Arabidopsis thaliana: one gene and its partner. The protein of the gene in region 2 interacts with the protein of the main gene of each other region in a biochemical or structural test. Each region holds a gene or a part of one and is shown on either strand. Other genes may lie near its edges. The genes, in order: TCP2 and AS2.

What was found.
Region 1: the proteins of AS2 (region 2) and TCP2 form a complex in vitro, tested with the Arabidopsis thaliana proteins (one study listed by BioGRID).

What each region holds. Positions count from the first base shown.
Region 1 is NC_003075.7:10,162,288-10,167,431, forward strand, and holds TCP2 (TEOSINTE BRANCHED 1, cycloidea and PCF transcription factor 2), read right to left. Parts: upstream 3,297-5,144; 5' UTR 3,156-3,296; intron 2,391-3,155; 5' UTR 2,023-2,390; coding exon 925-2,022; 3' UTR 635-924; downstream 1-634. UniProt on the Arabidopsis thaliana protein: Plays a pivotal role in the control of morphogenesis of shoot organs by negatively regulating the expression of boundary-specific genes such as CUC genes, probably through the induction of miRNA (e.g. miR164). Participates in ovule development.
Region 2 is NC_003070.9:24,396,429-24,401,687, reverse strand, and holds AS2 (Lateral organ boundaries (LOB) domain family protein), read right to left. Parts: upstream 3,546-5,259; 5' UTR 3,175-3,545; exon of another isoform or gene 2,374-3,174; intron 2,371-2,373; exon of another isoform or gene 1,976-2,370; 5' UTR 1,859-1,975; intron 1,593-1,858; 5' UTR 1,543-1,592; coding exon 943-1,542; 3' UTR 702-942; downstream 1-701. UniProt on the Arabidopsis thaliana protein: Negative regulator of cell proliferation in the adaxial side of leaves. Regulates the formation of a symmetric lamina and the establishment of venation.

The DNA of each region.
Region 1 (5,144 bases), on a different chromosome or scaffold from region 2:
AAATCCCAAAACCACACAAAAGTTGAAAGTTTTCTAATAAACAACTAAAAGAATGAATTTAATAATACTTTGTCTAGTACCCTAAAAGATGGGTTAGCCATGTGGGTGCAGAAGATCAAGTAGCCCATGAAAGAAAAAGTTAAAAAAACTTATAATAATATAAACAGATCATAAGAAATAAAATCATGAAAATTTGGGAATAGCCATTGTTGAAGACAACAGCTGTCAAATGAAGAAGATATATTCATAAGATAGATAGATTATAAAAACAATACATATGGAGAGAGATGATGCTAAGGAAGAAGGGAACCAAACATAGAGCACAACAGGAGACAATTCATTTTGATTTTCACTCTCTTCAATGCATAATGGCCTTACCCTCAATTTTTCAGTTTTGTCTATCAAAATTATTTATTTCCCTGATTATTATGTATATTTTCTTTCTTTCTATTTTTATTTACAAGTTTTTTTTTGTCTCTTCACTTAATTTCTGTATTTTTTATTTTTTTGGGAAAATTCTTAATTTCTGTATTTAATTCTTCTGAGTATTTGATTTGATTCAATCTAGTACCTTAAAAGGATCGCCCTATTGCCTTGACCTACCATTTGTTCATGAATACCAAGAAACAGTATCTTCGTACTATAAACAATTTACTAAAGAAAAAAAAAATGCTAACTATACCAATTACATGGCAAAAATAACATTCAAAAATTCAATTATAAACTCACAAACAAAATGCTATTATCACAAATACAACATTACAAGCACAATGCAAAAAGATTTCCAAAGACCCTCAATACATAAAACAAAACCCTAACACACATCAGACAACGAAAGAGATTAACATTTGTTTTGAAATAAACCAAAGATAAACATACAAAATGAGCATTTGAACAAAACCAAAGATGCAATAATTAATATCATCAGTTCTTGCCTTTACCCTTATGTTCTGATGAGTTTCTGCATCCATTTTCATAGTAAAGCTGAAACTGGTGATTGTGGTGGTGATTCTCTGCAGGCAGTGCACCGAATAAGAACTGTGGACCTCCTCCACTTTCTGATGTTGGAAACCTCTGTAGATTAGCGAGGAATGACTGATGCTGATTTGTTGAATTGGACTGAAGGGTCCCCCTGTTGAAACCACTGAAGCCACCACCTGATGCGGCGGAGACGGCAGCTCCGGCGCCGGAGGGTGTTGACATATTAAAATCAAGATTGAATGCTCCGCCGTTGGATTCTGCCGGTGATATCAAATGGTCGGGAACGAATGAAAACTCTTGATGCTGATGATGAGGATGATGATGATGATGATCGGAGATTGATGAGAAAGGATGAGAATTTGTTGAAATAGGGAAATGGGTTTGTTGACCCGACCCGAGAATTAAACCCGAACTGAAATACTCCATTGGAGATGAAGAAGGAGCTGAAGCCATCCATTGCCGGTTTGAGTTAACCGGATCTGAACCGGAATTTAACAAATCCGTAAACGAAGTGTGGTTATGATCTCTTTCCTTGGTCTCTTTAGCTGTTCTCTCTCTAGCCCTCTCTCTAGCTTTATCTCTAAGCTCCGATCTTGATAAAGACAAACCAGAAGAGTTCTTGCTCGTGTCTGAATTGCTACTACAAGCAGATTTAGACAAGGAATTAGCAGCAACTGTTGTTAATGTCTGATTCTGGTGATTCTCGTCATCGGTCGGAAAATGAGTGTTGTTGAGTGAAGGAAGCTCAGAGATTGAATCTTCAGCAGCTTTGATTAACCATTCAACAGCTTTGCTAGGTTGATCATAACCTAACCGATCTTGAAGATCATAGAATTGAAGAGCGGTGGAGACTGATAACCGGACACGACGGTCACGTGGTCCTTTAGAAGTCAAGACTTTGCTGTGTCGATCTTTACCACCGGAAGCTCGTGAAACCCTAATTATCCGGGAAGAATTGTGATGCCACCGGCTTAACCGGTTGTTCACTTCGTTATCCACAACGTCGCCATTGTTGTTATTCTTCATTAGATCTCCAATCATTTCATCATCACCAATAATCTCATCACTAAAGAAAAAAAATTAGGGTTTTGTTTTTTTTTGGTTACCCCCAAAATTAAAAATCAAAACTTTAGGGTTGGTTTGGGATTTAAAGAAGGAGAAAAAAATGGGTTTTTGTTTTTGTTTTGTTTACCCACTGTACTTTGTAAGCATTGATGATGAATACCCTCAGAGGAAAAACCAAAAGAAGAAAAAAAATGTGTTTTTTTTTAAAATTAATTTAGGGTTTTTGATATTTCACCATCAAAGTCAGTAGATACAGCTTCGTATAAGCTTTGTCTGCAGCTGCTGTTGTTTGTTGCAGAGAGTCATCAAAAGCACTGTGTCTGAAATGATTTTTAACCACAAGCCTGCAATAACAAAAACAAAGAAACAATCTCATAAGAACAAATCTTTACACATATATATATACATAAATGCTTATATATATATATATATATGTTACATCCTTATCGACTTTTTCTACAGATGACTTTCATTCATATATACACATAATTAAGATATCAGTTATTCTGATTCGAATTTATGCTCTACTCATTGTAGATCTGACATATCACAACAATTGATAAAACGGGTTTAAAGTTAATGATCGTGATTAAAGAAGAAGGAGCTAGAAGAAGAATCAGAAGCTATGATAAATAATTAAGCTGAATCAACTGCTTTCGGCTGAAGCGATTATCAATGGAGGGCTTTAAAGAGTAAGAAGACAAAAAATGCAGAAATCGAGTTTTAAGCTTTTCTTCTCTATATAAAGATTTTGGTGTTTCTAATTATGAAAGAAAAAGAGTTGTTTCATAGTAACCAACAAGAAGATTAAATCAATTTAAAAATTCTTAAAAAGGAATCATTATTGATGTGTTCTGGATTCTATGCAGATCACAGGTGTCAAGCTCTTGGCTTTGAGATTATATGAAACCAAAATTTTAAAGCAAATTAAAGGAACAAATACACTTCTTTCTACAGTGAAATTCTCATCAAGAAATAAAAATCTTAGATCTAGAATTGTTTTTTTGGAATCAGAATTAAGTATAAACACGAAATTCAGATTCTTTCTATGAAAAAGATTGGTTTTTGTTTGTTTCTCGGAAAATTCGATGAGATAAATTGAGACTTACAGAAGAAACAGAGGAGCTTGAGCTTGGAGTTAGTAGTAGTAGGTGACGAAGAAAGAGGGCTATAGGGTTTTAGGGATTTGTATATAAGAAATAAAAATCCGAGAAAATTGGAATTTCTTTGATGGTGATTTTAAAGGAGTGATCATCAGATGGGGAGAGAGATATTGGGCATAAACTTTGATTTTATTTCCATTTTTGCCCTTCATTACATTACTTATTCACGGAATTGCCACGGTCCTCTACAAAATATCTGTATTAAATTATCATCCTCAGTAATTTGATTTCAGGTGAGAAAAATTATTTGATATTTTCGTTTGTTTTTGGCAATAAAAACACAAGAAAATATTTAAAGAAGTTTTTTTTGGCAGCTATTATATCAAGAAGTTGTGAACATAAATGCTATAGAAATGTTAGAAACAAATCAATGCGTGAATATGAGAAATCATATTATCTCATGTCACATGTATATTTATGTAGGAGAGGAGAACAAACAAAAAAACAATTCACTTTGTCCAAGTGTCCTTAGGATTTTAGTTTGTTCATAGAAATAGAATTCGATTAATACTCAATAATCTACTCTATGATATGTTTCGATCATAAAAAATGCTACATGTTTTATGTTTTCAAAATAGGTTTGGTCTATCATTCTTTACATGTAAAGCTCATGGTTTTCCACCAATTCCTTCGGAACATAGATTTAGATAGATAAAAGATTCATACCGCAATATAAACATATCTCTCATTCTCAAGCTAGTTTTCCAAGTTTTTATCTACTTGCTTTAAAAAAGGAACTCTCGCGGTCTCGCCTACACTCTTAGTCTTTTTGTTCTCCGACATGATTAATATTGTATATTCAGAACATTTTGCAGAGTAAACTCGACCCTCTCTCTTGAGCATAAAGCTCGAATCCTTCCTCTGTTTTTTTATTATCTATTTGGTTTGAGGTCTTTTAATTTTAGATATGTGAGTAAATTATTTATATTTTGTTTATGTGTTTAAAGTTTGCTTATGTTAATGAAATTTTTTTATAAAAAAATGCTACATGGAAATATATATACTGTCCGTATCATAACAATGTTAATTGTTATTTACCAAAAAAATATCTTTATTACGATAAAAACTTATACTATGAATCTTAGAAATTAGAAAAATTGTAACTATTATGTGTGAATTTCAAAAATTAATCAAATGAAAAATATGTCGTCAACGACCTTTTTAACTAAATTATCGTATAGGTCTTAGTCAGCCATTGCTCGGGTTCAAATTTGAAAAGTTTGGGATTTTATATAGAACAAAAAAAATAAAAATTTTATATGAGAAAATGTCTAAATTTAGCAGTTTTTATGATATTTTTCTATTTTTAACCATAACATGTACTAGCCTAATAAAAATATAAAAACAAATTTTATTTTGGAGACAATGCAAAACAATTATCAAAGTAAGCACATAATCCAAGCAAATATCTAAAAATTAAACAAACTATTTTAAAGTAGAAATAACTAAATTTCCGGGATAATGATATTTAAGGAAGAATGAAAACTATTTTAAAACCTATACATTTCTTTTCCACCTAACAAATCATATTGATAAAGAAATCCAAACCCCTATTTTAATAACTTACACTATGTCAATCCCACATCACATCACTAGAACTTCATGGAAAAAACACGCACAATTTAATTCAAGAATTAGTACAAATCGTTTGCAATTTTAATAATCTAGTAGTATTTTTTTAGTCAAGTGGTATTACACCATACTCTATTAACTTTAATAAGTACAGATTAGTTATTAGTTAATGTGGTTTGTGGAATTCAATAACTGCGATTAAGAACAAATGACGAAAAAGGGAAAGAAGTAGAGCAAGTGGTTCACGACGGTCTCGAGAGCACGTGTCGCTGTCTTAACGGACACTTGCTCACTTCTCGATCACTGTTGCCTTTACCAGACCACTGCACGTGTCTGCTTCTTGGTCACCCAAATTTCTGCTTA
Region 2 (5,259 bases):
CTTTTCACTAATATATGTTTGTAGGTTTTGTGAAAGGCGCCCTCTATATCACTAACTTTTTCTGTGAATTTTCAACTTGCATATAGAGTAATAGCACCAGTAATTTAATTGAGATTTTGCATATTACTATACCCAAATAGTAAAATAAGGAACTAGTAACTTTATCAAAAAAAACTAAATTAGTTGATGTGACAATTAGTATTTACAACAACAATAAATAGAGTCATCATAAATAGATGAAGGAGACTTTTTAATTAGAGAGAAAGCCTAGAAAGAGCTAGTGGGTATAATTCGCCCGGAGATAAGATGTTTCATGTTCATGTTATATTCCGTTAAGCCTCTTCTTACATCAAATCTTATCCTTGACGCTGACAGTGTTCCACATCAAACCTCTTTTCTTGCAAATATCATTTATATAAATATGTCAATTTTAAATGTTTTTAATAGTTTTCCTTTATTATTTAATTTTAAAATTTGAACTACAAAAAAAATAAAAGGAAAACACTATAATACATTTATCTACATGGTATACACTATATTTCATATTCATAATTTTTACTAATAATGTTTTTTAAATACTTAAGAAGTCTAACATTAACCATTAAAATCACTCAATGATTAACTGAATTTAGGTCTATATTCTTGCTGGAGGTACATATGCGGATCAATAGACTCGACATATTTGGAAATAATATACTCTATAATGCAAGTATGTGATATCAATTAAGAGAGCAAGTCCATAAAATTTGAAAGAAATACAAAAGTGACTATCATAATATATCTAAGTAATAATAATAATAAAAACCGAAATTAATGTCATTAAGAGAGACGTACCATACGTTTAAAATATTTTGGTTTTCCACATCAAATATTTTCTTAAAATTATAGTTTTCTCATCACCAAGCGATCGACGAAGATGAACACCACCAAAACCCTAAAATCTCAAGACGGATCAACAGTACGGCGACCATCATCTCCAGCGGCGGCTCTCGGCTGCTGAAACTGAGTGATCTGTCCAATGGCAAGAATCCCACCGTCGTAGTTGTTACCGGCCGGAACATCCAAGCCACCAAACATTTGTTCTCTAGGAAAAAACTGGTGGTGGTGATAGTGGTCTCTCACGGCGGTGGCTGTTCCATCTGCTGCTCCGGCGAGTAAGTTGATGCCAAGACTCTGATGAGTGGCGGCGAGGATACCGAGGCTTTGGTACTTAGAGAGCTCAGATTTAGCACAGCTGAGATCTATCTGAAGCTGACGAAGCTGATGTTGGAGGAGAGAGATGACGCCGACGCAGCCGTAGACAGGGTCACGGAGGCGCATGTCGGCTTCATAGGCCAAAGAGTTCACTGCGTCTTCACGTTGTGAAGGGTGAAGCTCGTTGAGGAGCTTTGTCACGTTACTTGCTCCAAACACTTTGTGAACGTTTGCGAATTTTTGTGGCTGGTCCGGTGGGAAATAGGGCGCGAATACACATTCCGGTTGACATTTTCGCCGGAGGAATTTGCAAGCGGCGCATGGTGAGTTTGTTGAAGAAGATGCCATTTTAATGACTTGAAAATGGAGTTTTTCAATTTTTTCTCTTTTCCCTCTCCCTACACAAAGCCGCCATTGAAAATTGAGAGAAATAAGGGTTTTTGAATTTAGTTTTTGGAGGTAGAAGGTATAAGGAAACAAAAAAAGATATTATGAAATCAATTGTGATTTTGGAGATATTACATTATCTGTTTTTGTAATCAAATATGAAATTAAGTGAGAAAATAAAGAAAGAAATAATGTAGAGAAGTTGCTCAATCTTTATTGTTGTCAATTAAAAAAAAAAAAAAGTTGTTCAATCTCTATAGAATAAGAAAGCTTTTACCTGCGAGTAAATTAAAGAAGCCTTTCTTTGAATAATGGCTTCTGTTGCTCAGAGGGGAAATAAAAGAAGATCCTCTCTGCTTTCTTTAAGCTGCTATTTGGGGTTGCATACAAAAAGCTGTAAAATAAGAGAAACTTTGCAATTAGTAGTATTAAAGATATTTGGTGAGCTATATATGCACATACACTACACACACACATAAGTGTATATGTATACTTATATATACTGATCCAACCTTCTTGTCAACTGTTGAAAGCAAATAGAGGAAAAAATGAGTAACATGAAGGTGCTTTTCGAAAGTCAAACATAAAGGTATGCATCCAAATATATAATATATGCTTGGGAGATAAAAGATCATTTCAGACCTAGAGATATGTGTAGCTATATGATATAGAGGAACTTGTAGCTATATGATTGCTAGTCAAATTTTGGTAACTAGACCTAAGAGTCTAGAGACAACCTGAGAGATTTAAAATCATTATAAAAACAAATTAAAAAGAGATGGAAATTTGTACCGTGTAGTTGGAATGCGTATGGATGGATTAACGAAATATAGGGAACAAAACAGATGGGATCAATGGTGTTCTTTGTGTTGCTTATAGGTAGGTATGAGAGAGGGAAGAAGAAGAGAGAAGAGAAGGAAGAAGATGTAATTAATTACTAAAAAGCAAAAGATTGGATCTCGTGAAGAAGAAGAGACTTTTGGGTTTTGAGGCTCTCGATGGGCAAAGCTCATCTTGTGCTTAAATTTCCTATTATATTAGTATTTTATAAGAAAATGAGCTAATAAATATGATAAGACTAGTACTAATTAATGTTATTTATTTTTAATATATATACTTAACTAAATAAATAACTATAGAGTATACCTTCAATAGTAATAGGATTTGGTACTAGAGGGAATTGATTTCCATGTGAAGAAGTTGCGAGTTTCTAAGGAGAAGAAGGGATATTGGGATGAACCCTTGGACCCTAGCATAGACTCTAACAACAATAATAACAATAAATGTATAGTTATTAGTATTAAATTTCAAAATAAAAAAGTATCTAGAAAGAAAAAAAAGGAAATAAATGTGAAAAGGAGAGATGGGAAATGAGAGATGGGGTCTGACTCTGACTCTCCTGATGGATCTTGGGATGAAGAATTTTGCTCTTTTTATTCTTATTCTTTTTGTCTAGGGATTTACATACAGTAACCAAGCATTTTGTTATTACTATTATTATACTCTCTACTAGTAATTCGCATTAATATTATATGATACGGTTTGACAAAAGCTAAAATATAAATACAGTCGAAAAGTTGATAATGAAGTTACCGTCCTCAAAGTTTCTTCGGTCAAACCCATTTTTTCATGTTTCTTTATACCAAAATCCATAAGAATCTACTGCCACTTTCTTTCTTCTCTTCTCTCTCTTTCTCTAATTACAATATATAATATTATATTAGGATCATGCAAGTGTCTTTATTTTTGACTCGCTAGTTTTACGCAAAGTAAGAAAGAAAAAAAATAGAAAAGAAAATAAGTGAAAGAAAAGAGGAAGGCATAGAAAGATGATGAGTTTAGGATCAGTACTCCCTAAGGTGTAGGGAGATAGAAAGAGAAAATCGCCCAGATGCAGAGGCTAAGGAAACGGAGAGAAAGAACAACTTTTATGGTGTGTCGATATATAGAGATAGAGAGAGAGTGAGTGATCACGGACTCTGTCTTTCTTCTCTATATATATCTTCATACTTTCCTCTACGGGAAAATTAGGAGATATACCATGAAACTTGTTTATATAATGATACCTACTTTGTTTTTGGAGTTTAAAAGATAACCCATGATTAGTAACCCTATGAGATTAATGTTACTGGGACATTAGTAATTTTTAAGATGAGGTTATAGTATTTTTTGTTTATGCATTTTTAGTTTGAATTTCCAAATGTGAAGGGAATAGAAAAACATTAATGGAAGTTTTGTATCGAACTGTTGAGAAAGGGGTTAGAGACAGTGGCACCGTTTCTTAGATGCTTTAGGTTTTTAGACATTTTGGTGTTAATAATTGAAGTTACATTCTCAAGACACAAGACTTTGTATATAGTTCTGCATTTTGTTGTATATCTTAAAAATCCTCGAAAATGTTATTATCAGAAATGGATACTTGTTTTTAGTTGGTTTCATAAAGTGTGCCATTTTTGTATAACAACAATACAACCATAATTCAAGTTCATTTTTACTAGTAACTACAGTACTTTTTTTTATGAATCTGAAACCTCAACCAACAGAGCCAAATTCAACCAATACAACAACTACAATAAATGTGTACATTTACCTTATGTACTAGCAGAAATATTCTAAAACTTTGGGTTAAGCGATTGTCAAGGTTTTAAACTCTCTTTTTTCACTACTAGTTCTCCTTTCTTGGTAACAAATGTCAAGTTAAGCAAATTTAAACACTCGATTAAGTAATCAGAACCGAAATTTAGTTGGTCTCTACGATTAGGTCATCACTTTTTACGTACGACCTAACCTAACGAAGAAGCGTGCAAAGAGAAAAAAGAATGGTTATCATGATCATATAACATTTAAAACATTAGTCAATTTGGAGAGAGAACAAGAATGGGAAATGAATAGAAGCAAGTGGGTCGTGGTTGCATATTGCATTGTTGTAATTACTGTTGGAGCAGAGTCTGCAACACTATTTACTCGTACCCATTTTCAAACGACAACCATTCCTTTTATTTATATATTTATTCATTACTTTTGAAATAAAACTATTCATGTCTTCATGTTCTTTGTCTTCTTCCTTCGTTTATAACAATGGGTCCAAAAATCATAGAATTCACACCATATGGATGGTTACACTCCTTCTCTCCAATTAATATTCATAATAAGTATGTTTGGCTGATATCGTTTTCATATTTTTCCATTATTATATATACATTGCGTCTTCTTCTAAAACTAGTTTGGATTTAAATTACAATGTTTTCCACATTTCGGGCCCTACTTACAAGCTTTTTAGTATATAAGTAATAAGTTTACGATTAAGTAAAATCATCTCCAATTTTGAAAATGTTACCTGAACAATCAAGTATAGAAAGTAAGACTAAAATAGTAAAACCAAATACTTCTAAGAATTGTTACACTAGAATAGTTACACTATAACAGTTAATGGAGCTATCCACTTTTGACTAGTCTTGCGGATATATAAACATCTTTATTCAGATAACTCATGGTGACATAAAAAGATTAAAAAAGTTTATTTGATAAACTAAGTATTTGAAACAAAACATTATTTTAACACTTTTAACAGAATTCTAACTTATAACTGACTATATTGATAGTGAGTACATTATCACAATCCTCTATACATATTTTAGGGTTCCTCATTCAAGTATGAGGTTTCTAATACATTTTACT